Neodiprion lecontei: one gene and its partner. The protein of the gene in region 2 interacts with the protein of the main gene of each other region in a pairwise test. Links are inferred from orthologs where the notes say so. Each region holds a gene or a part of one and is shown on either strand. Other genes may lie near its edges.

What was found. The genes of interacting proteins can lie anywhere in the genome.
Region 1: the proteins of vam6/Vps39-like protein (region 2) and ras-related protein Rab-2 interact in a two-hybrid assay, tested with the Drosophila melanogaster proteins (2 studies listed by BioGRID). The link is inferred for Neodiprion lecontei from reciprocal best matches to the Drosophila melanogaster genes Vps39 and Rab2.

What each region holds. Positions count from the first base shown.
Region 1 is NC_060266.1:24,866,664-24,878,062, reverse strand, and holds ras-related protein Rab-2, read left to right. Parts: upstream 1-3,819; 5' UTR 3,820-3,942; coding exon 3,943-3,988; intron 3,989-4,422; coding exon 4,423-4,562; intron 4,563-4,640; coding exon 4,641-4,997; intron 4,998-5,069; coding exon 5,070-5,171; 3' UTR 5,172-6,815; downstream 6,816-11,399. Other genes in the region: methyltransferase-like protein 25B, read left to right, coding at 604-762, 1,048-1,157, 1,307-1,547, 1,752-1,900, 2,004-2,306, 2,377-2,518, 2,589-2,698, 2,824-3,097; ribosomal protein S6 kinase alpha-5, read right to left, coding at 9,128-10,717, 10,841-11,269, 11,381-11,399. UniProt on the Drosophila melanogaster protein: May be involved in bidirectional endoplasmic reticulum (ER) to Golgi trafficking. Together with Rab7 involved in promoting fusion of autophagosomes and endosomes with lysosomes, probably through recruitment of the HOPS tethering complex.
Region 2 is NC_060265.1:27,121,157-27,133,708, forward strand, and holds vam6/Vps39-like protein, read right to left. Parts: upstream 8,057-12,552; 5' UTR 7,861-8,056; coding exon 7,791-7,860; intron 7,673-7,790; coding exon 7,499-7,672; intron 7,419-7,498; coding exon 7,166-7,418; intron 7,071-7,165; coding exon 6,838-7,070; intron 6,751-6,837; coding exon 6,506-6,750; intron 6,424-6,505; coding exon 5,980-6,423; intron 5,895-5,979; coding exon 5,577-5,894; intron 5,459-5,576; coding exon 5,032-5,458; intron 4,971-5,031; coding exon 4,860-4,970; intron 4,759-4,859; coding exon 4,434-4,758; intron 4,229-4,433; coding exon 4,165-4,228; 3' UTR 3,834-4,164; downstream 1-3,833. Other genes in the region: N-alpha-acetyltransferase 38, NatC auxiliary subunit, read right to left, coding at 8,279-8,521, 8,697-8,762; H/ACA ribonucleoprotein complex non-core subunit NAF1, read left to right, coding at 9,092-9,936, 10,047-10,173, 10,261-10,529, 10,637-10,815, 10,924-11,351; putative ATP-dependent RNA helicase DHX57, read right to left, coding at 12,082-12,225, 12,348-12,552. UniProt on the Drosophila melanogaster protein: Part of the homotypic fusion and vacuole protein sorting (HOPS) tethering complex involved in endo-lysosomal vesicle trafficking and lysosome biogenesis.

The DNA of each region.
Region 1 (11,399 bases), on a different chromosome or scaffold from region 2:
TGGTACAGTTTCAATTTCGTTCAATTCTCACGCTCCACGAAGCTCGTCTAACGATACAGTTTGTACGTTAGCCACGGAGTTCTTACAAAAATCCAAGAGTTTGTACATCGCACGCAATACGTTTCGCCGTGGATATGTGGCGGTGATTACACCTTTAAATTCGTATTACAAGTGTTACACTTGTATGCAGTGCGCGCGTGCAAATACGACTCTTCCGACGAGTGATGTGCTGGCAGGCAGGCAGGCAATAACGTAACTGCTGAAGAGTGAAAGTGTTGCTAAGTGGGACGAGGGAATCGTGGGTACTTGCGTTTATAATTAACAAATAAACCGAACGCGAATATACTCCGTACTCTTACCCCTTGCTTACCTAGACAGCTTATAATAATTAAGGTATTCAAAATTCCCGCGCGCATGCAGATTACACGATGTAATTAATTCGTATGCGTAACGCAAGTGGGAGTATACCTCTTACAAGGGATATAATGATGTACAATTATTTACAGGACCGCGGGAAAAAATAGCTCCCTGGGAATACGGCACGCCTCTTCAAAAAAGATGCGTCTATCCCGGCGGGATAATTGAACCAAACTTGAAATATACATGAAATATACCGTGCAAGATACGACCACGATGGCCACCGTCGATAACACCGGGTCCGGCACCTGCTTATGCCGAATTTGCGACTCCGTGCGAGAAACCGTACGCCAAATATTTATCGTTCTTGACAAATACCGATGGCTTCTGGACGCCTACATCGTGGTTAGTTTTTATCGATTTCTGTACCGTTTAATTTGCCTAGAACAGAAGGAGAACAATACGTTAGGATCGCTGGTCGGTTTATTATTCTTGTTATTATCACCCAGTCGAGATGCTGTTCCACGAACGTGCAAGAATCTAGAGCAGCGATTCCGCTAGCTACTAGGTCTTTTCGTCGGCCGAAAGTTGCGGCCTCGTGCAGCGCGCGAAAGATTAAAAAACTATTGGGTAAGAAGTGAAAAATTTCATTCACATTATTGATATTTTTTCATGCTCAACATTTCCAAGGATTTTTACGAGGCCGATTTATGGGAAAGACTTCCGGGTGGTTGGATCGATTTCTTCAAAGACATCACGCCGGGGGAACTTGGATCCTGGATTTTGAACGAGGGTTCGAGGTGATAAGTAACAAGATTAAGAATAATCATTTTCATATCATATTTCATATAATCATTTCATATTCAAGAATAATATTACTCAATAATCATTTTCCTTGTCGATTTGAATATCAAGCAACTGTACTACCGAAACATTTTATCCCATTCAGTGTCCGAGTCTGGCCGTTATCTCTGCAGGCGCTTCGTCGAGTCGTCGGTATCTTACAGGTACACAGAAATCAGAGGAGCGAGATCGCGTTGAAATGCGAAAATGTCCGTAAAACGGAGAATACGGATTTTGTCAAGCCTCAAGTGAAACCGAGCACGTGTTCGAGTCATTCGAAGTTACGCGATTTACTTGGCAAACACGTAAAACCGAAAAAGAAACATGAAATCGAAATAATGGCGAAGGTAATTAGTTACTAACGCGTAACTGCCTTTTAACATTACTCGCCTTAATTAGCTGCATAATTAGTTTCTAGCGGAAAGGAGGCAAATATTTTACATTGATTGCATCATGCGCGACCGCAGGTGTTCGGTTTGAACTGTCAGTCGCGTGATAATTTCTTACCAAGAATCGACGTTGTAAACTCTGAAGGTTTGCTGAATTTTCAGATAATAGCGGATTGTGCTGCTTCGGCGAAATCGGAATGCGCTGTCGATGTTGGAGCCGGAATTGGTCACCTCGCTAGAACGCTTGCTTATCGACACGAGATGTGCATAATTTGCGTTGAACAGCAGTCTTTATTGTCGGAACAAGCCAGGTACGCAATTTCTGGAAAAATAAAAATGTGTTAGTAGGTAGAAAACTGAATATAGGTGAGATGATATCAAGATTGATGAAATCTGCTAATGTTTCTTCTACAGAAAACTAGATACACAATTTGAATCTATCGCCATGAAGTACGTAACCAACATCCGAGAGCAAAAACCGCATCACGTGTCTTTGAAGATAGAAAGAGATTCATCTGAATTGTCCTTTTTCATGGATATAATAAACAAAGAATTTACAGAAAAGTTCAGATTAAATCCAGAATTTTCAGGATTCGGTTTGATTGGTTTACATCCCTGCGGGGATTTGGCAACAACGCTGCTACAATCTTACGCAGAGTCGGACCGTGCTAAGTTCATTTGCGTCGCAGGATGCTGCTACATGAAGCTTTCGCTTGGGTAAGGAGTTTGAATAACAAAAGTTTTAGATTCTTATTATTCGCTTATAATTTAACTCGAGAATTTAAAGCCCGCAGAGCTACCCTCTCAGCAAATATCTACGCACAACTGGGATTGATTACGATCTCTCGTACACAGCTTTGGAAGTTGCCTGCCATGCGGTAGAAAACCATTGCATAAAATTGAAGTCTGCCGAATGCTGGGAACTCAAAGTATGACTGTAATTTATTTCTACAGCATTGCGAGCATTGTATTCATTATGAAATATTCCTTTGGTTATAGATACATGCTTATCGAGCAACGCTAGAGAGTCTCATCGTTCAGAGAAACTCCTCTCTACGTCATGCTCAGCTCAAAAGTTTCAAGCTCAAGGAAAATACCACATTTGAAGAGTCAGTAGTTTACGGTTACTCGTGATGAAAATATTTCCTTAATCAATATTAACTTTTAAATCCTTGACTGTTTCTATGCAGTTTAAGCTAAGACTGAGATATGAATACTCACTTGTATTTTGCAGGTACTGCATGGCAGTTACAGAAAATTTTACTGAAGAGAATCGTCCACGGAGGGTAGAGGAAATTAGAAATCCTAAAACAGCCGAGTTGCTAGAACGCTGGGAACAGGTTGTGGTATTTGGTTCCCTCAGATCGATGCTAGCACCGTTGGTCGAGAGTGCAGTTTTGTTGGATAGATTCTTGTACCTGTCAGAGAAAAATTTATCGCCAAAATTAAAGGCTGTCTTCGACCCATTTCTATCGCCGAGAAACTTTGTATTAACATCTATTAAGTAACTGAATATTGTGTCATTTGCTCAAAAATTGTACAACAGGGATTTTGGTCTGTTTACAAATTCACAATAAAGAAGGAAAATTGTTCACCCTGTTTCACTGCATGCTTTAACAACATGTCTGATTAATTTAATAAGCCTATTTATGCAAGTAACTGAATATTTCGTACCAGGTACATACAGTGTACAGAAGTAAAAAACAGATGAAAGTACGCCGAGTTCCAAATTAATGCTTGAGATTGTACCCTATTTCGTTCTTTCTTATTTCAACCCACATGACTTTTGCGGTGGCGATTAGACTGCTTCAGAATCGTTCCAGTATTCATATTTTTCGAAATCACGGATATTAGAACAATCAAACGCGATAATCGTGTAAAAAAAATGTGTTTAGTGTGACTCGATCGCAATTCAACAACGCGCTCTACGCTTGTCCCACAATCCATTGCGCGCGCAGGCGTGATGCTTTTGTTTTCTCAGAAAATTCAAACGCAGATTACTACGCGAAAATTCGCATCGTTGCATAGCTGGAAATTTAATTAAACGTGAGTGAAACGAAAGGATGAGATATCAAGAAGGTCTACGGCCAGGCCTCAGATAGGGAATCGCGTAGTTTGGACTTTGCTGGTTAAAAGAAAAGAAAATATCCGAGCGTCCAAATTCCGAATCAGACTTCAGGAGGAGTCCGAATGCGACCGAACAGTGCCGAAGTATATCGAGTGACGTCACGGCCAGCAGAAGAGATAAGCGAAATAATAAGCAACTGAAAGAGCGTTGAAACGAAACTACTACGCTTCCCTCGTCGTGTACTTTGAAAATTACCGTGTTTTGACGAACTTTGTAGAATTTGAAATGTCTTACGCTTACCTTTTCAAATACATTATCATCGGTGATACGGGTAAGTTGTTGGAGACTCGACAAACTCTTTCAGAATCCCGATCATCTGTCTGTATTACGTTGCCGTGACAGCTCCCATTGTTTTCATGTCATTGCATTCACCAATATTCACACTTCCTTCATTTTTTCTTTCGACTAACCCCTCTTGGCTAGACAGACGAGAAAAATCAGTTTTTTTTCATTGCCCCAATCCTCGGCCGAGGTTACCTGGATATTAGAGCTGATGAATATTCATTCTCAATAAACGATTGCGATCATATTTTTGATGGAAATTTTACAGTAAAAATTAACCTCATTTCTAATTGTTCTAAGCAGTATTTAATCTAATGATTATTCGGATGATTCATGCGGATCTTACGTTTTTCTTTGCATCGTCTTGCTAATGTCAACAGCTTCTTCCGACGATAAAAATCTTGTCTATAATCTCATTCACAGGAGTCGGCAAGTCGTGTCTCCTGCTGCAATTCACAGACAAAAGGTTTCAACCAGTACATGATTTGACTATTGGCGTTGAGTTTGGCGCGCGTATGATCACAATTGATGGGAAACAGATTAAGCTGCAGATTTGGGATACGGTAAAGAACAAAGCTGCATATGAAATTCAGTTCATTTTCATTTACTTTTTTAAAATTCTTGATTTAATTTACTCGCAGGCAGGGCAAGAAGCGTTCCGTTCCATAACAAGATCATATTATCGTGGCGCGGCAGGAGCCCTACTCGTCTACGATATAACTCGCAGAGAGACTTTTAACCATTTAACAACATGGCTAGAAGACGCACGGCAGCATTCCAATTCCAACATGGTTATAATGCTGATTGGAAACAAGAGCGATCTTGATTCACGGAGAGAGGTTAAAAGAGAAGAGGGTGAGGCGTTCGCTCGAGAACATGGTCTTGTATTCATGGAAACGAGTGCAAAGACTGCAGCCAACGTCGAAGAAGCATTTATCAACACTGCCAAAGAGATTTATGAAAAAATACAAGAAGGTGTCTTTGACATCAACAATGAGGTGAGAAATAGATCAGGAACTAAGATAAGTTTAAGAGGTGTGAAATGGTCTTACGGAATTTATTTTTTTCAGGCAAACGGCATCAAAATTGGACCTCAGCATTCGCCGACAAGCCCAGGTGGCTTGGCGGGAACTGGAGGTCAGGGTGGCGCTCAAGGTGGTGGATGTTGCTAGGGGCTGGGGCTTCGCTGCTCCCCGTTTCCCTGCGAACCGATCTAAAACGATCCCCCCCCCCTCCATCCCGTTCCTGCTCCACGTTTTCAACGATTTGTATATTCATTTGTATATTTGTGTGTACGTCGCGTATCGATTCAGTGTATCGATGGATGGGCAGTAATTGGTATAATTTATAGTTTTCAGAATCTTATTCGATATTGTAATAAATAAGATTTGTCGCGTGATTTATTCAGGGTTGATAAACAAAATAGTACATAAACAGAGAGTAGGCAGTTTTCACTTAACGAGACTCTTAGCGGTACTCCTTCAACGTATAAAACTTCGTGTGTAAACTTAGAACTTTGACGCTCTGAATGAAACCGATGTATAAGGAATGACGAGCGACAGCTTGATTCCCGTGTTTTAAAATACATGTAAGACAGAAAAACTCTTTGTATTCAATATTAACAATAGTGTTATTGAATGGCCAGTATGACCCTCCCGACCCCGCAGGCTCCATTTGGTGAAATGAAACGGAAAAAGAATAAAATAAAAAATTCGTAAAAGTTATTATTTTACTTGGAGCAGGAATATTGGCTTATACTAAATCAATTACCTTAACGCGACAGCATGTATATGGATGTACTATTGATGTACCTATATGACGAATACAAAGATTAATTTCAATTAAACTCCAGTTTGGAGACCTATGTAACCAAAATCAATGTTTTTGTTTACATATAGAATTATTAAAGGTAACGACTATCATCAATCAGTTTACGTAACTTTCGTTAACGTCTCGATAGCAAACTGATGATAAAATTTTAGGGGATAGTAGGATAACGAGAATCGTAAAGCATTTGAAACTGTCGGGAAACGGATGTGCTCCACAACAATTTACACAACTATTTGTTGTTCCTTCTCGTTGATCTTATGCATCAAATACGTCTTCTCCCCTTCTATTTCTGTATCATTTTCCTATATTTTACTCAGTACGTCAGCTTGGATTTTATACACTTGAATGGCTTAAAGCATTTTCGTGAATTATTATGTAAGAGCCTGACGCCGTCTCTGATCAATGAATCGTAAAGTCAACTCCCTCAATCAAATCAGACGTTTGTTTTGTCAACAAACATGTTAAGAAAAACGTTTAAAGACTTATTTTAATTTAGCAAAACAGTTAGCACACATGCACCTTCATCTCATTACGATTGTTTTAGTCCTAGTCAATATAAAAGTGAATGTCCGATTATCTTAATCATGAAAAGAAGAGAAATGAAGTGAAGGAAAAAGAAATATGTATATCGCAACAAGCGTAGTGAAGATTAAACTTGACTCACTTGATATTCAACATTGCATACATAATAATATATACAAAAATATTATAACATGTATAATTTGAATTGAAATGAAATCATCGGTGAATTGAGAATTACGTGTACGATAAACTGATAATTCGTTGTGATCCGTAATTTACTTATCATTATTTAATTATGATTATTGTACTATCCTTGGAGCTTGGTAAAGTTAGTTTATGATATGTCCAATTATTATAATAAGGAAATATTTTACTTGTACATCAACTAGCGTTTTAAATTTTAATCACGCTTATGTATCTTTCTTTTACCATTCTACTATAATATATGCTGGTTTTCTGATTTACTCGTGCATTTAATTTTAAACATTCGTTAGACATACTATTTATACCAAGCACCCCATTAGCAGAAAGTATAAGATACAGTGTCTAACTATATTTTCCCGACAAGGCTAAATTACCGTCTCGATACAACTTTGCTTGATGATCATTTGAACATTAAGCCACTCCAATGTATTTAAACTCATTAGTTAATTATCATCATATACGTGAGTTTTCCGCTCTTACAGACACAGGACCAATCTAAAAACGACTAGGTTTCAAGGTTCACGGTGTTGTTGCCGGCGCGTGTAGACCAGGGTGTAAAGATGCAAAATACACAGGATATAAATAAACATCGTATGATATATTTAAACAACCAGTAGTAACAAAGGAGGCATCTCTTTCATGCATCCATAGCAACAAAACAGCGTTCTTCATATTTCATAGAAGCTGCTAGTTATACTTTCTGTGTATGCAATATAACATATCACATACACTTTCAGCAAAGGATAATTGTCTATTACAATGTAGCTAACAATAGTGGTACTGTATATCACAAGAGAAAGAAGGAAAAATTTTTTAAATAAAAGACAGGAAACGAAATTTTACTTCATTAGCAATAATTAATTTAATTTATGATTCATAATGACTATGTTCCTAAATAAAAACATGCATATATGTATACATATGAAAGCATACGTACACATATACGTATATATTCGTATTATACGCATCTTGTTAAAGAATATCACTTCTTACATACGATTATATTAAATATATAATTATTTTTATGTTTTCTTTTCATATTTATTATTTCTGTTCAATTTCAATTAGCCATAATAATATGTAAGGTGTATCTATTACGTTATTTAAAGTACAATTTATAGTAGTAATATAATAAGCAGCGCCATAGCGCCGTTTTGCAATCAGTGCACAGCTTTGTATATACGATTCGGTTTATTACGTTTAATTATTGATTTATTGTTATTCTTGTTACTACTATTAGTATCATCATTATTATAATTATTATTATTGTTACAGTTATTGATTTCATGATTTTTTTGTTTTTCTTTTTTTACTTCGTTTTTTTTTTTTTGTTTGTTTTCGTTTGGTCTTACAGTGTAACGTTGCTTCAGTCGTCTTTGGCAGAGGTGTGCGTACAGCCTTGCAGAACCTGTATCTCTCGTATATCGATAACTAAAGACGTTTTATTGTAAGCATGCCTGTTCCCTGAGTTGGTCTTATACAACCTCTTCAGTCTTTCCCATTACTCTTTTACTTTATTGGTTTTTATTCTTTTTTATGTCTTTTAAATTTAATTTATATATATAATTTTTTTTATTTTTTTTTTATCCGTTACCTACAGCAGTCGTACAATCGCGGCAATCCCGTGTTAATTAATATGTAGGTAAGTGGTAAAACAGGCTTATAATTTTTTTTTTCCGAAGGCAAAAAGGCCAGCTCGATTACATGTATATTCTAGCATTCAGTTAGTTTTCGTCAAGAGTTTTGGGAAACGTGACTGGAAACCGTCATCGAAAGTAATTCTTAAAAAGCCGTAACATTTTAGTTTCACGAATGTAGTTTAAATTATCGATAATAACGATTCAAAAATAGTATCAACTAACACGGCACCAGTCCAAGTTTTTCCCGTATACTCTTAGAATTGGGTATACCCGAGGCACAGTCACAGTATGTGTGTATTAAACAATTGTCAACGATTCGATACAACGTTTCATTTATACAACATGTAATCACAGAAAACCCAAGAATTATACATCATCTATATTCATATATATGTGGATGTATATATTACATGTATCATATACATGTGCATGTGTGCGTGGTGTGTGTGTATGCATGTGTGTGTGTGTGTGTGTGTGTGTGTGTGTGTGTGTGTGTGTGTGTGTGTGCGTGCGCGCGCGCATAACTATAATATTGCAGAAAAGATAAACAAATTTTAGATATGCTCTTTTTTTTACATACTCCACAATAAAAATAACTTCATACTTCACTCTCTTCTTTTTACCTATGTCGTCGTCGTTAGTATTATTATTATTTACCCTACCTACCCGTTAAAAAAATCAACAGCTTCACTTCATAAACTGATCAAAGACGCCACTTGAAAATGTAGTAGGCGACAATGGCGATGCTCAAATCAACACTTACCTACATGTATTTACAAAGAATCTAAAAGTACTGAGATAGGAATGGTGCGATATCCGCGTCTTGCACGATCAACTCCCAAAGGCAGCAGCGTTACGTCACGGAAAATGCATAGGAAACAAAAACGAGTAAAATCGTCAGCTTTAACTTACCAAACGCTTACAAGCAATTTTTACTCTACTATTATGGTAGGTAGTCGCTTGGGCCGTTTTCCAGTTCTCTGTTTTCTGTGTACAATTGTATCTCTTTTACCAGGGCTCGTCGTTGCATCGATAAATTCGACACAGCTATCAGAACCGCTTGTATTTAGATCCAACTTTCGTTTTCTCGATCTTGTAATCGGGCCGTTTTCATTTCCGCTACCATTTCCGCCTCCACTTCCGTTACCACTTCCATTATCGTCTTGCTGAAGAATCACGTCGTCATGATCGCGTTTGCGTCTTTTGGCTCTGGAGCCACCGGGGTGATCCGACCTCTCAGTCTTCCGGCTAGTTATTCTTGGCGAATTCGAGTCGGACGAGGAAGACAAAGAACTGAGATATTCGTTTACCCTTTCCTCGCCAAAGTCAAAAGCACTGGGTTGCGCAGGGGAGGCGGAAGCGACGGTGGTGCTCGCGCTGGGTGGTTGCAGTAGCTGTACCGAGGCGTTCGAGGAGGCAATGGAAGCCGAAGAAGACGCGGAACTCGATGTGGACCGCTTGGGAAGCCTTCGTCTTTGCGCAAGCTTTGCCGAATCGACCTCCCTCAGCTTAAAGCTCTGCCCCTTTTCGCTCGTTGAGGTTGAGGCTGATGTAGAAGAAGAAGAGGATCCGGCTATTGGTGCGGCGGCAGGTGTAGTTGAGCCTAAAATCCACTCGTGATTAACAAGCTCGGTGGCAGTGAGTCTCCGATTGGGATCTGTGGTCAAAAGACCCTGTGCAACGTTCTTCGCCGATGCTGAAACACCTCGCCATGCCTCTCCCTCGAAGTCCACGTCACCCGTCTTGACGCGCGATGCAAAATCCGGTGAATCCGTACGGAATGGTGGCCGTCCCGAAAGCATGGAATAAAGGATGGCGCCCAAACTCCAGAGGTCACAGCTCTCGTCGTACCCTTGCCTGGCAAGAACCTCTGGCGCTGCATAGGGAAGCGTGAAGCAGGGAGTGTGAAGAGGCTCGCGGCCTTGTTTAATTCTCGCAAACCCAAAGTCAACCACCTTGACCAACAAGTCATCGCCTGTGTTGGCAAATACTATGTTTTCCGGCTTGAGGTCCCGGTGTACGACGCCTTTTGCGTGCATGAAACTTACCGCTGAGGCAAGCTGGCGCATTATTCGACTTGCCTGAGACTCGGGGAAGGAACGAGACTTCCGCATCAGCTCACCTCCCTTCAAAAGTTCCATTACTAGATAGGTATGCGCTCGATCTTTGTAAACGTCTATCAGTTTTACAATACTCGGATGGCCCTGGCAGATCTTCAATAAATTCGCCTCCCTTCCACAGTCAACCCTTCGGCTAACTATTTTCACCGCAAACTCCTGTTGCGATTTACGGTGCCTACATCTACGACAAACTGAAAAACTTCCGTCGCCCAACGCTTCTTCTCTAGGATCAAGCTCATACGTTTTGAAAAACGCTGATTCCTCGAAACGGGAGGCTAACTCGTCTGAGGTCGATGGACGATGGTGTTGATCCTCATTCGTAGTCCGTTCGACGTTTTTGAATATATCCTCGCTGATCACATTCTCCGCGAATAATATCGATGGCGCGACATATGAATAGCCCTGAAATTTCAAGTCATTATGACAAAAATTAGATGAAAACATAATTTTTTACTCTAAATTCAAAGCAAATTTATAAACAATCTTGATTTGGAATAATTTTCAATATCTTGAGGCAATTCTTACCCGAAAGAGTTTGTCATAATTTGGTGGTACAACAGCAGGGCTATCGGCAGCGACCATTTTTGTAAATTCCTCTGAAAAATTACTTGTGTCTAGCTCGTGAGTGATCTTGGGTACGAAAGGTGGGGTAATCTGTCGAGACTCAAGAGCTTCCCAACTGAAGGGGGGTGAAGCTTTGCTGAAAAACTCGTGCTCCTTAAGCTCCTTGGCATCCTCAGGCCCCCCGCCGAGCCTTAGTCGAGGATCTTTTACCAGAAGGCCTGTTATGAAACTGCGAACGGAGGCACTGAGATGCCCAGGAATGGGAGGTTCCGTTCTTAATATTCTTTTCGATATTTCTTGCTGAGTATTTCTCTCCCCCTCAACTGTGAATGGCGAGGCACCCGTCAGCAGTTCATACGTCAGAACGCCAACGCTCCACCAGTCGACCGCCTGTGTAGGATCATCGAATTAAAAAATATTAAAATAAGCATTAAATTAATACCTAATCGCATAAATCGTATGACGTCTTTAATTTTATCTTTGCTTATTTAAACTACTTACAATGTCGTGCCCAGCAGAT
Region 2 (12,552 bases):
GGAACGGCGATTCATCCACTCCACGCACCGATCGTCGCGACCGAATGCCGAGAGAATGAGGTAACGTCATCTGGAAAATAAGAAATCGTCCGTTCGAAAGGATGCGTTGTCGCTGATTATATATATTATACGAAAAAAAGAAATTGAAATAAATTTTTTCAAATAAAATAAAATTCGCCCACCTACGCGTCTCCCAACAATTAGCGTACGTGAAACATGCGACATGCTGTAAACCTGAATTGTAAAGCTCATTGGTCCACTGCTCAACCACAACGTCACATCCGCATTTACGCTAATTTACCATTCGCCGGTGACGATCGTTGTTTCATGCACGTAAGCCTATACGAACACTTGGGTATTTAATACTACATTCGATTGTTCGTTATCGACGTTTAAAATACCTCAACACCCGCGGTGAGTTATCAAATCTGTTAATTAATTTTTCGCTCGTTTAACGTCGATAAATGTTATTATATTTATTTTTAGGCTGTTCTTTCTTGTTTACGCGTAAAATAAAAAGAGTGAAAATAAAACAAGTGGACAGTGGAGGGCGGAAATCCTTTCTCGGTAAATGACCTGCAGAGCTAGAAGTCGCGGAACTTGGTGCGTGTGTTATATACATAAATGAATGACCCAATTTTGCTCAACGCAATGCATATATGTATATCTATTATGTATACATACAAAGGAAGGGTGTGCTGAGCAGCAACGTGTATACGCCTCTCGTCTAAAATTAGGTCAACGAGGGTTAGGCTCATATACGATATACGGTGTCCAAAATATCTTTCCACGTTTTTTACGTTTTTTTTCCCCTTCTACTTCGCCTCTGATTTTTCCCCAACCTTTCCATTTCTCTAATTTTTGATCTCGCGATTTTTTGTTCTCTTTCTACTTCCGAGAAACACCGCAGTCCGTTAGAAATATCCGTGTGTACCAGCTTCTTGAGTTTTCGCGACAGCTTCCCATTGTATTATACCATATAGGTATACACATATAGTATACCAACGGGGTATAATGTACTACGAAGGAAAGACGGCTTGCACAGTGACTGTATACTTTGTTCATAACGGTTCTACAGTTAGATCGAGTAGATACGCGTAAAGAAGGTACAGGATAGATAGGTTCTTCTCCGTGAGATGCGGAGAGGAGGAATGAGGCAAAACTTTACGCTCGCTGCGTGAAAGTTTCGAATGTGATTGAAGAATAGGGCATAGATCATGTGAGCATGTGGTTAGAGTGTTATAAAACGACGAAGCCTTAGAGTACCGTAGACGTTTTTTTATTTCTATTATAAGGCGAAAGATTACATGCACCGAAAGTAAAATAATATCGTATGAAATCAACGAAAAACATACGCGCACGTTATTTTGGAATTTAAGTATACCGACTTAAAATGAGTGAGCGAACAGTAAAAAGATAGACCGTACATTTGGTCGTAATTCGAAACAGTCATTATGTCAGGCTCTTACAAGTACATATGTGTACTATGTGTATGTGTCTAAGGTATGGTAGATAAGGTGGAAAAAACGTAGATATAGGATATATCATATATATACGGTATGTAATATATCTGTCGATTTAATCAACCGTTAAGAATGGTCTAATTTCACGACGATTATATACATAACCGAATATGAAGGGAACTTTTTAATATTGATTTTATATACACCTATATGCGTACAATTATATACCTGCGTGTATTGACGTGACGAAACTCAAGGGACGCTTGTCTATGTAAAAGATATAAAAGGTATACAAAGGGGAATACGTGTAAGGATAAGATATAACGGATCGAGATTATACTGATTTTTCAAATACATTCTCAACCGATATTATTTCAGAAGAGACAAATTACTGCGCGTAATTTCCAAGTCTCATTTCAAACGTATAGACACGTAGTCAAGTTTGCTTGAGGCAGCTGGTGCATACAAAATACATCGTCAAGACGGTTGGCTTCTTTGCATAAAATTTTCGTCCTGGCAATCGATTGGATAAAAGAAGGCGGACGCATTTCCGACAAATTTTATGTTCCAGACTACCGCATACACACGTTGTATGAATATCGTGTTTTCAAATATTTATACGACCGGGTTACGCTATATAATAAACACACTTTTCATACACGAATGTATGCGTATAGTAAATTTTCATCGACTACGAAAAGTTTTATATCGTGCCGAAATTAGAACATTCCTTCGGTACGATGTGAGGGAAAGAAAAAAAAATAAATAATAAAGAACGAAGAGAACGTGTACCGTCGGAGGAAATGATTTCTATCGCGCATCTTCCGCGCAAACAATTTATTTATAATAAAACGATGTCAGGAGAGAATCGGTAAATTATCGAATTCACAAGATATTTAAATGAAAAGTTGAGTAGGTTTTTTTAGTAGGGAAAGGGATTTGACGAACGGTTGCAAAGGAACTTCTTCGCGTATACTGTTAATTTATTAATTTATTCAGTCAGCGTTGTGTCGTCCCTTTAGAGCGCAGCTCCTGCACCTGCCGGCTTGACGTAACAGTAAACAGAGCAGACCGAGAACAATTGAATAACGATGCGAGAGAGTTGGAATACGGAATGAAGCAAAAAGGCAGCTTACTGTATCATTGTTGGCTCTGTTTTTGTTCGAATTAAGTAACAACAATTTGGTCATTGGCAGTCCTGACAGGTACGGAAGGGATTATATCTAAGCTCGATCGAACGTCGTGCCTAAATCATTAGGCTAATGATAAGGATGCGGTGGGCAACGTCGTTACAGACAATTGTTCGTTGATGCGATTTGTATAAACCGCGACGATTTCTTTCAATTTTTATTTCAATTACAGTGAAATTATCGAGTAGAAACGGACTTCAATTTTTTCTTCATCCCAGTGGACGCCGTTAATGCAGGTAATCGGATTGACATAGTTTCGGTGAAAATTTGAAAATCGAGGTATTACCGAGCGCCTTGAGGGAAAATTGAACGTGGCAGGATGTACGGCGATCTCTTCAAACGTGGTATCGAGTCGTGAAATATCTCGGTATGCGTTATAATCAGTAAATTAGGAAACCGAGAGTAAATCGACCACCATTTTTACGGGAGACAAGATTCCGCCCGTCAATCCGCGTACGATCCTACAAACGGTAGCTATACTCGACACTCTCTCACAATTGTTTCGACGTGTGACTTACCCTGGCTAAAAAATACTCCCAAGCACCGTTTCACCTCAAAACTTGCATAAAAACTCCACAAAATACACGATAAACCACTTCTAGATTCACTCGGTACGTCTCCTCACTCACACGACCGGCGCGCAACCAACTGTGCAATGCAACACGGCGTCCAGACCTCGCGGAGAAGAACTAGTCCCGCCTACTCGCGCGTCGCGACGCCGAGAATCACGTTCACGGCGAAATATTTGGCCGCCGTAAAAGACGACGGTGTATCCCGAACGATAATTCATCCGAAAAGTGAATTGCAGACTCCGATTTCATGCGTTTTTAGTCAATTTCAGGGATCACGCATGTAAACTATAGACTCACGGACTATAGTGACATTGGGCGTATGAATACACTAAGAGTATGACATCATCGGCCCCGTTTACACATTTTGCCGATGGGCACGCCCCATCCTTCAATGATCCTTATTATTTGCTGTATTTTATATTTATTCGATACTTAATACGTTATTATTGGGCGATAATCTCGGCACAGAAGAATCGTTGTATCCCGGGCACGATCTTTCGGCTTTGAACGCGTTCGATCAATCTTAGCAGATGTAGTATCGTTATATATTTTATCCATAATTTTGTGTTATCTTACACTAGGAATGAGAGTGACTTGGCTGAAAGAAATTATTTTTTGACCAAACTGTTGGCAGATATTTAATTTACTGATCATATACATAGCTACTGATTCGTTCGGTGCATTTGCACCTTAAGATTATACAGATACAGGCCTGGCAGCTGTTATATAAGTATAGTAGGTTCAACAGTCCAAGATTTACCAGCCGAGCATATGCGTTTACGTTGAAACACATAAAATAAATTCATAGGTAATATATGCAATAATAGATTCTTTGACTTCAATACCTTTGCACGTTTACTTGGGGATCATAGTATAGTAGTATTTATAAATGTTCGATTTCGATAATGTAAAATTATATACATATTCTTTTCACATACGTTACGCCTTTTTCTCTTGACATGAATAGTGAACAATATCACCATTGGCATATCTTGCAAATGCACTGTGAACAAAAAGAAAAACATAATTGTAATTAGTTTAGAAAAAACTGAGTAACACTGTTTCAAAATTTGTAATTTGTATGGTCCTTGGAGCGTATACCAACCAATCAATGTTTTTATTAAGTTTAATGACAATATGCAAGGATCATTCAGCTATAATCACAGTTATGGTTCGGTTAACGAATAGAGATTTTTGAAATGATTTACCTTTGATTTCCAAAACGTTTTTTGCATACCGGACAAATATTGAACTCCGTTAAGAGAACGCTCTGGGACTCGTAATGCATTCTTTGCTCCTGTACCTGGAGGTGTTCAGCATAAAGCAAGCCTTTCAGAATTTGGGTCCTTCGTCGTTCATTTAGATTATTCTGCAAGCTAGCCTCGAGGAAATGTCTTATCCGACCTATTGGTACATTGTCAGGCAAAACCTCCAAGGCTTTCAAGGGTTCGATTTTTGCAGCATGTTCCTCAAGCAATTCCAAAGCTGTTTCCAAGTCAGGTTGAGCTGTCCTTCGGTTCTCTGGAGTGCACCCTACAGTATAAAATAAGTTTACCAACAGGTACACTTAAAAGCGCAACTTCAAAAAATATTTCTGTAACACAATGCGAATCTTGAAAATGATAGAGATTTACCAGTAGCTACCAAGACACCTTCGTTGTCCGGCTTCAAAAGTTGCTTGATCAAAGTAACATAGACTTCGTCGGCCCCATCTTGATTTTTCCCCTTTTCTGAATTTTTCTGACCTTCAATACATATTCATCATGTAGAATGAATATTTTTATTATTCATTTAGATGATACCAACCTTCGAATTTTGCATATACATTACTGCAGAATTGAATCGCCTTGGGGACGTCATTTAATAAGTTTACATAGATGGAGATGGCCTGCTCGTGACGACCCAATCGTCCTAAAATAATCGCACGTTCTTCGAATAGGCAATTAAATGGTAAATGAACTAGGACCGTTTCTGGCGTGTAATGAGTTGACTTCTCTAAGAATTGTTGTAGTTTCTGTCGAAGGTGCTGAACATTTTGCTTTTCAGCCGGCGAAGCATTTGGGTTCAAGCCTGCTAAACACTTCTCTTTATATTGGTGTACCAGGACGTTGTGAAATAGAGGATTGTTATCCATCCAAAAATGAACCACATGCTCCAAGTACGTTATCACCAAGTCTTTGTGACAACGTAAAAGATAATCCAATACTTTGGGACGTGGCAAATGTTCAACTTCCTGTCGGCATTAAATATGTACAAGTTAGTAAAATAACGGCAGGGAGCTTCCACAGAGTATTCCATTCACAGAATATAAGAAAGATGAAAAATGTGGGTATGCTACTAATTATTATTACCTGCACATCTTCCATAAATATTCTGAGGCCCTGTTCTGGGTCCTGTTCCAAAACCCATCCAGAAAACTTCAAAATCAAATCCATATGGTCCTTACCTAGGTGCTGTAAGTATTGAATTGTTCTCTCGGTACCTCTTAGACTCGAATCACTTTCGTTGGATTGTTTCTCAAGCAACTCTAAAGCCTTCTTGTGCTGACCTTTTGTTTGATATAATATAATTAATTCTGGGTATTTCTGATATTTCAATAAAGTCTTCTCCGATTCTGCTAAATGGCAATGGTTTAAACGCAACAGTGGCGCTACCAAGGCATCATTTGTCTGTAAATGTAATTTATTGTAAGATTGAAGACTGCATTTTATTCTGAATAGCCAAAATATTAAGTAATACAAAATTGAGATTTACCTGTAAGTAACATTTGAGTAATGTTGTATCGATTATTTTTAAAAGCTGCTCTGTAGCCACAGCTGTTATATTCTTGGTTTTCTCTCCTTTCATTGTATCTTTCTCACTATTTTTCTCATTTTCTTTATCTTTTGCTTGCGTATCACCCATTAATTTATGTCTCACTTCTGTCAAGAACTTAATCAAGGCAAGCAAGCCTTGTTCCAAATCACGGTCTTGCAATATTGGCACAGTTGTAACATGTTCGCTAGTTTCATTGGCATTGGTTGGCTGGGAAACCAGATCAGGGAAAAGTCTGATTACTTCGTACGGATCAGTACCTGATTTGAAAAACTGCTCCATAGACTCGGCAAATTTTTTATTAGCAAAAAGATAGTGGGCGTATAACGTTTGTATTTTCCACGTTTTTTTTGCTTTTTCTTCTTCTGTTATGTCAGACAAATGCTAGAAACAGATAATTTACCATGATCATTGGTTGTTTAAACAATTATTTTATGAATTCTTCAATAATAAATGATATGCTCACAGTTAATTTTAAAGCCAGCTGAAACTGATTCTGTTCAAGAAGTGTTCGAATCTGATGCGTCACCTCCACGGCATTTATACACCAAACTTGGCTAACTGATGCTACATAAACAAGGCCCTTTCTACACCTGCACAATAATCTAGCTTTGTTAAGTTCTGGTATCGTTTGAATGTGTAAACAACCTTCCAAGGTATAAACTTCCAAAGTATCGTTAATTATACCCATGAGAAATGGATCATCCCATGCTAGAAAATAAATATTCTCGCAATATATTTTTTAATATCTCGAATTGAATTGTATTTAAGAAACACTGTTTTACTGATTATTGATACCTGTAGCACTAGGCGAATCTGGCCATTTGACAGAGTTGTGTTGGACCAATTCTCCTTTTGTGTTCATAAGAATTGACTGTGAATCTTTTCCTAAAGCAAAAGACGTGTCTGACAGTTTTGTTATCCCTGGTTCAGGAGACTTTCCACTTGGAAATAATTCCTTACTTGTACCATCTAGATCCAAAAGTATATAAGATAATCCACGGAATCCCAAAACCACAGTTTCTCCGCACCTACAGCGTAAAATGTTCCGAGCAAATTTAAATAAGATATGCAACCAATTGCTGCTCAACCTTTTTCTTTTACAATCTAATAACTTGTTTCGTACCACGACAAGACTCGAGGCACATCAGGAACAGTTAATTCTTCTCCAAAGTCTATAAATTGATCCACCTTCCACTCGTACAATTGTAATTTTCGCTTCACAGCAACACACAAGCGAACAATTGTATCTTTTTCACCTGTCAAACTCTGAGTACGTTGTACATCCAACACGAAGAGCGTCGCACCTTTCGTTTTTTGCAACTGACATATTTGAGGGATTGTTGCAGAATTTAAGTCATGTACGCAAATGATGTTGTCTAAAACATTGATTTTCGGACATTGTTATCGCCTTATTGGCAATTGAAAATTCAAATTTTTATTTTCTTATTCGACTCACCGGTCAAAAGTATCAACAAGTTGTACTCTGGTACAACTTCGATCTGCAAAATAGGTTTTTTGCTAAAGTTTTTACCGTATCGAAGCAATTGTAATTCTTGTTTGTCGTTTGACTTTGGAGGAACACTGTACATTAACAAATGTCCCTGTCTAGTGCCGATGAGTAAGTTATCATCTGTAAGTAAAAAGTTTCACTGATAATTCAAAGTTGCGTTTTATATATAATTTAGAATACTGCACAGTTATTTCAGTTAAGGTGTAGAACGATTGAGGTTATGTTTGGCGCTCATTACCGTAAGCAGTAATTGATTCGATCTGAACTGTCAATTTCAAGAGAGGTGAAGCTTCGTAGGCGTCGTGCATCTTAACACTCCGTTTGCACAAAGATGTTTGGATCTTCACGGTATTTTAACACCGTGGAATCTTACACTGACATTTCACTCCACGACGACGTTTGGGGTTCTGCTTCTGTCAGTTACCGTGCCACGCAGCACTTGTTTACATTAAACGTTGACGTCAGCTGGTTAGGTATTCAAAAATGGTGTCTCCACTGACTGACGATGTTACTTTTAAAGAATATCAATCCAAAAACCATCATTTTGTTTGAGCCGAGGGCTGTGCCGATTATAATAACTTTGTAGACAACAATGACCTTTACAGGTTACTTCAGTTGTGCTGGATGTTGATATTTGTGAGAGAATCGTAAGATAATATGTTACTAAAATGTATTGACTGGTCAATGTACAGACGTAGAATAGTTTATTCTTATACTTATTATTAATTATGCGTCTAAGTGAATTGTTACAATGTGTCGACCTGGCACCATAACAAGCCCCAGGGCTCTAGCTTCGGTGTGTTCTTCTGACAAGAATTCCGAACACGAGCCTAAAATAACATTGGCATCACGATCTGTACATAAAAAAGCCCCCGTCAAAACTCGGCCATCGGTCATTTTGATTTTAAGGTGACGATTCAGCCATCCTCTCAATTTTAGTTTGGCTGGTGATTCCTCCACTGGCAAGGCCTGAAAAAAACATGAATTAAAACAAATCAATTATACCTCATGTGTTTGTTCAGTTATGGATTGTATTAGCTAAAGGTAGTCATTTTTAATTGAAATAAATAATACCACATTTTTAGACAAAAATTTTCTAAATTATCATAACCGTCACATTCGCTAATTGTCACGATCCAATTACCTCTCCGTTACCGTGAACAGCCTCAGTATTTGGAGTTGTCGACATGCTGTGCACCGTGTCTTTCATATTCTTGTTGATTTATTAGGATAGGTGAAAATCTAAACGTATTATACAATTACAATCAGTTTGCTTGCGCAATTTTCCACAAGTAAAACCAGCAACAACAAAATCGTTGACAAAATAAAACCGTTCCTGACATCTATCAAAGTGTTGAAGAAACTCGGTGGAAGTTAGATAATACCGAGCTAGAGGGAGCGGAAAGTAGCTGAGACGGCGGAGCTATGGCGCATGGTATTTTTTAAACTTTCCGCGGTATGTACATCATTAACTATTGTTCATTTCGCATGTAAAAATACTGTCTACACCAAAGTAAATTACCAATAAATCATAATACCATGTCTTCCGAGGGCGTAAGGGACCCTGAGAATCAGCGCGAAGATATTCTTCTAACCTCAAAATCAAGCAGGGTGGATATCGGTGAAGAGAATGTAAGAGACACTGTAGATGATGTAAAAATTGTATATTCTAACATCAAAGATGTCACAGAGAAAGATGAAATTACGGACTCGATAAAGTTGCTTCAACATACGTCAGAAACAAGTTCGAAGCATGATCTAATGGAGATTGACAGCTCGTATATGAAATCAGTAAATGATTCTGTCGAGGCCAATGTGACCACTGAGGAAGGTCAGATTAATGTACCTATTAGCATAGATGATGTCGAATCCTTGAAAGTTGTTGGAAATGGACTTGATACTCCAGAAATACAAGAAAGACACGCAACTCGGACAGCAAATTTGATCACATTGCCTGGTCAACTGGTTGCTCAAGACGCACAGAATGACAGGCCTATTGAGATCAAAAATAGTGATCAAAATGAGTTGATGCAAAAAGACAAAAGCGTTGAGAACGCAGCTTCGATGGATTTAATAAAAGCTCAGGCAGCTTCAAACTCAAGGGATGGTATCTCCAAAGTAGAGGTAATAAACGTAGTAAATTCCTTATCGTATTTAGCGGCAGAATATGCAAGTTCTGATTCGGATGAAAATGAAAAAAGACCATCATCACCATGCGAAGTAATTACCATTGTTGATGACCGTGGCAATGTGAGACAAAATAACACACAGTATCGAATGGAGTCTATAGATGATGACTCTGAAAGTGGATCTAGTAGTATAAATTCCAGTGGTAGCAATTATACCACAGAAACCGATAGTGATATTGATAGCGAATCAGACAGGTAAGACATTGCTAAATATTCCTTACCTGATGTGAAAAATTGCTTGTTGATGAATACTGCAGTTTGTGTGGACAAGATTTTGTTTGTGACGTATGATTGTTACATTGCAGCCCTATACGGGTCAGTAAAATTGATTTACCAAAAATCAAAAATATTAAAAGTGAGTTTGAGGGTCTACCGCCAATCGAAGAATTGAAAATTACAGTACCTGAAGAATCATGTGACCACCTAGGCGAGGTAAATATTTCTATATTTGACGGAAGATAGAATAGATGATGTAATTTTGTTTTATTTTCGTGAAATAATAATTTTATATGCCTCTAGGTCACTGGGTTTGTAGAGGAGTTTGTTATAGTACGACCAGTTTCGGGTAAACCCACTCTAAATCTTGATTCAATTTTATTTCTTGAAAAAGGCCAAAAAGTCCTTGGCAAGGTGTTTGATGTATTTGGTCATGTGGCTGATCCTCAATATTGTGTTCGATTCAACAGCGAAGCACACATTCAACAATCGGGGATTGTTTTGGGAATGGAAGTATATTATTCTCTAAACGATGAGCACACATCTCTGGTCTTCCTTCACGAATTAGTCAAGTAAATATTTACCTCTTAAGTTTACATCGCAGTCTCTCAGTACATGGCCATCGATTCCCAAGTCAGTTAGTGAACATTTGAAAACACGTATTTTCAACTCTTACTAGGCTGAAAGGTGCTGATATCTCTGGAGAAGACGATATGGAGCCTCCAGAATTTTCAGATGATGAGGAGGAACGAGCTTATAATCAGCTGCAAAGACAAAAGCAACGTCACAGACCAGGAATGTCAGAGAGTCATGATAACTGTGGTGATGTAGTGATCCCACAAAAACGTCAATGCCCCGGTAAGTATGTTTCAGTAAATTTGTAAATCTCTTAACAAAGTTAGCTAATTTCGGGTAATGTGATAGCATAAAAAATATTATGAAATTTCATTAATACGCTTATTATAGAACGTCCTCGAAATCCTTGGGGCACTGACTGGAGATCTCAAAACTATGGTAACCGCCCACCAAATCCAAATTCCGGCCATGGTACGCTTCGATGGATCTCTGATAATTGTCGGCCTTCATTTCAAAATTCGCCCAACTTACAAAACGTAACTCACTCGCCTAATCAGTCTTCCCCTCATCGGTACAGACACCCCAGCACATTTAATTCTAGTCAGTGTCAATGTCATCTATATACTAATCGGTACCAACAAAATAATATGTGTCTTCCAACAAATCCAGAATATGTGTTTGGTCAACCGGCGAATTTTCGGCCTAACTTTCCCTATTATGGAACGAATTTTTATCGACCTAATCCTTATCCATACCCTCATATGTCTTGGGGACCACCACCTCCTCCTCCTCCCCCACCTCCTCCGCCATCTATGTAATTCTAAATTCCATGTTTTAGCTTACATACTTAAGATTTAATAAACTTTACATCAATATTCACGACCAGATTCTCATCCTCCCCCTCACATGCTTGGGGACCACCACCACCACCACCTCCTCTTCCTCCTCCTCCTCCTCCTCCTCCTCCTCCTCATCCGCCACATCCTCCGTCATCTGTGTAATTCTAAGTTTCATGTTTTAGCTTACATGCTTAAAGATTTAATAAACCTTACATCAATATTCAGCATCACATATGTTAATTTGTCAACCATGTAGCACTCCATTAGTTACGGATACTATAATGTGTACAGAGGTAACGATTAGAAGTAAATGGGCTTCCAGCAATAACTACGGTAATGCACGATTTTTTCTGTTTTTTGTAAACATATTTGAAATATATTTATCTCTCTGAATTATTTAGTTCACTGTCCGTTATTATTTTCCAGGTATTCCGTATAGATAATATTGATGAATATTTACAATGCCTTTTTACAGTTTTAGGACACATTGTCGAATAATTGTCACAAGTTTTAAGTGTGCAGATATGCGTGTATAGATCTATAACACAAATACGATCCATTTAAGTAGGTATGGATAAGTCGAATGAATTCAATCAAATTTTATGAAATCTGAGAAAATCAAAGTCAAAATCAATTAAAAAATTTAAGCCGTTTTAAAATTAAACGTGAGGAATATTATTAAAAATAATTTATTTGATACTTAGAACGTCTAGTCTCTGGTTACTATATTCACGATGGTTTGAATAATTTTTTTTCCTTTCGAGTGGTGAACCAGATTCAATAAAGGGTCCTGCATCTTTTCTTCGAGAAGTTTAACCAATTCAACTCGCATGCGTTGCAACAGTTGAGCAACCTATGAAATAAAGGTTGTTAGTACAGTGAATTGCTAATTGTTTGCTTGTTTTAATCGTTTATCTTAATTTGTTATAACTACTCTCCATTGACCTCTGAAAATATTCAATAAGATTCACATACCCTGTGCGATTCAACGCTGAACATTATCCAGCCATCTTCTAGTGACAAGATGAAAGTTCCATTGTGTAACTCTATATCGATACCATAGCCAGAGAACAAGACTAACGCCAGCATCGGTACCATTGATACTTCCCTTATAAATATTCTGCTCGTCTTAATTTTTTCTTGAAAAACTAAGTATGGGCTAGAAAAGTGACCGACTGTG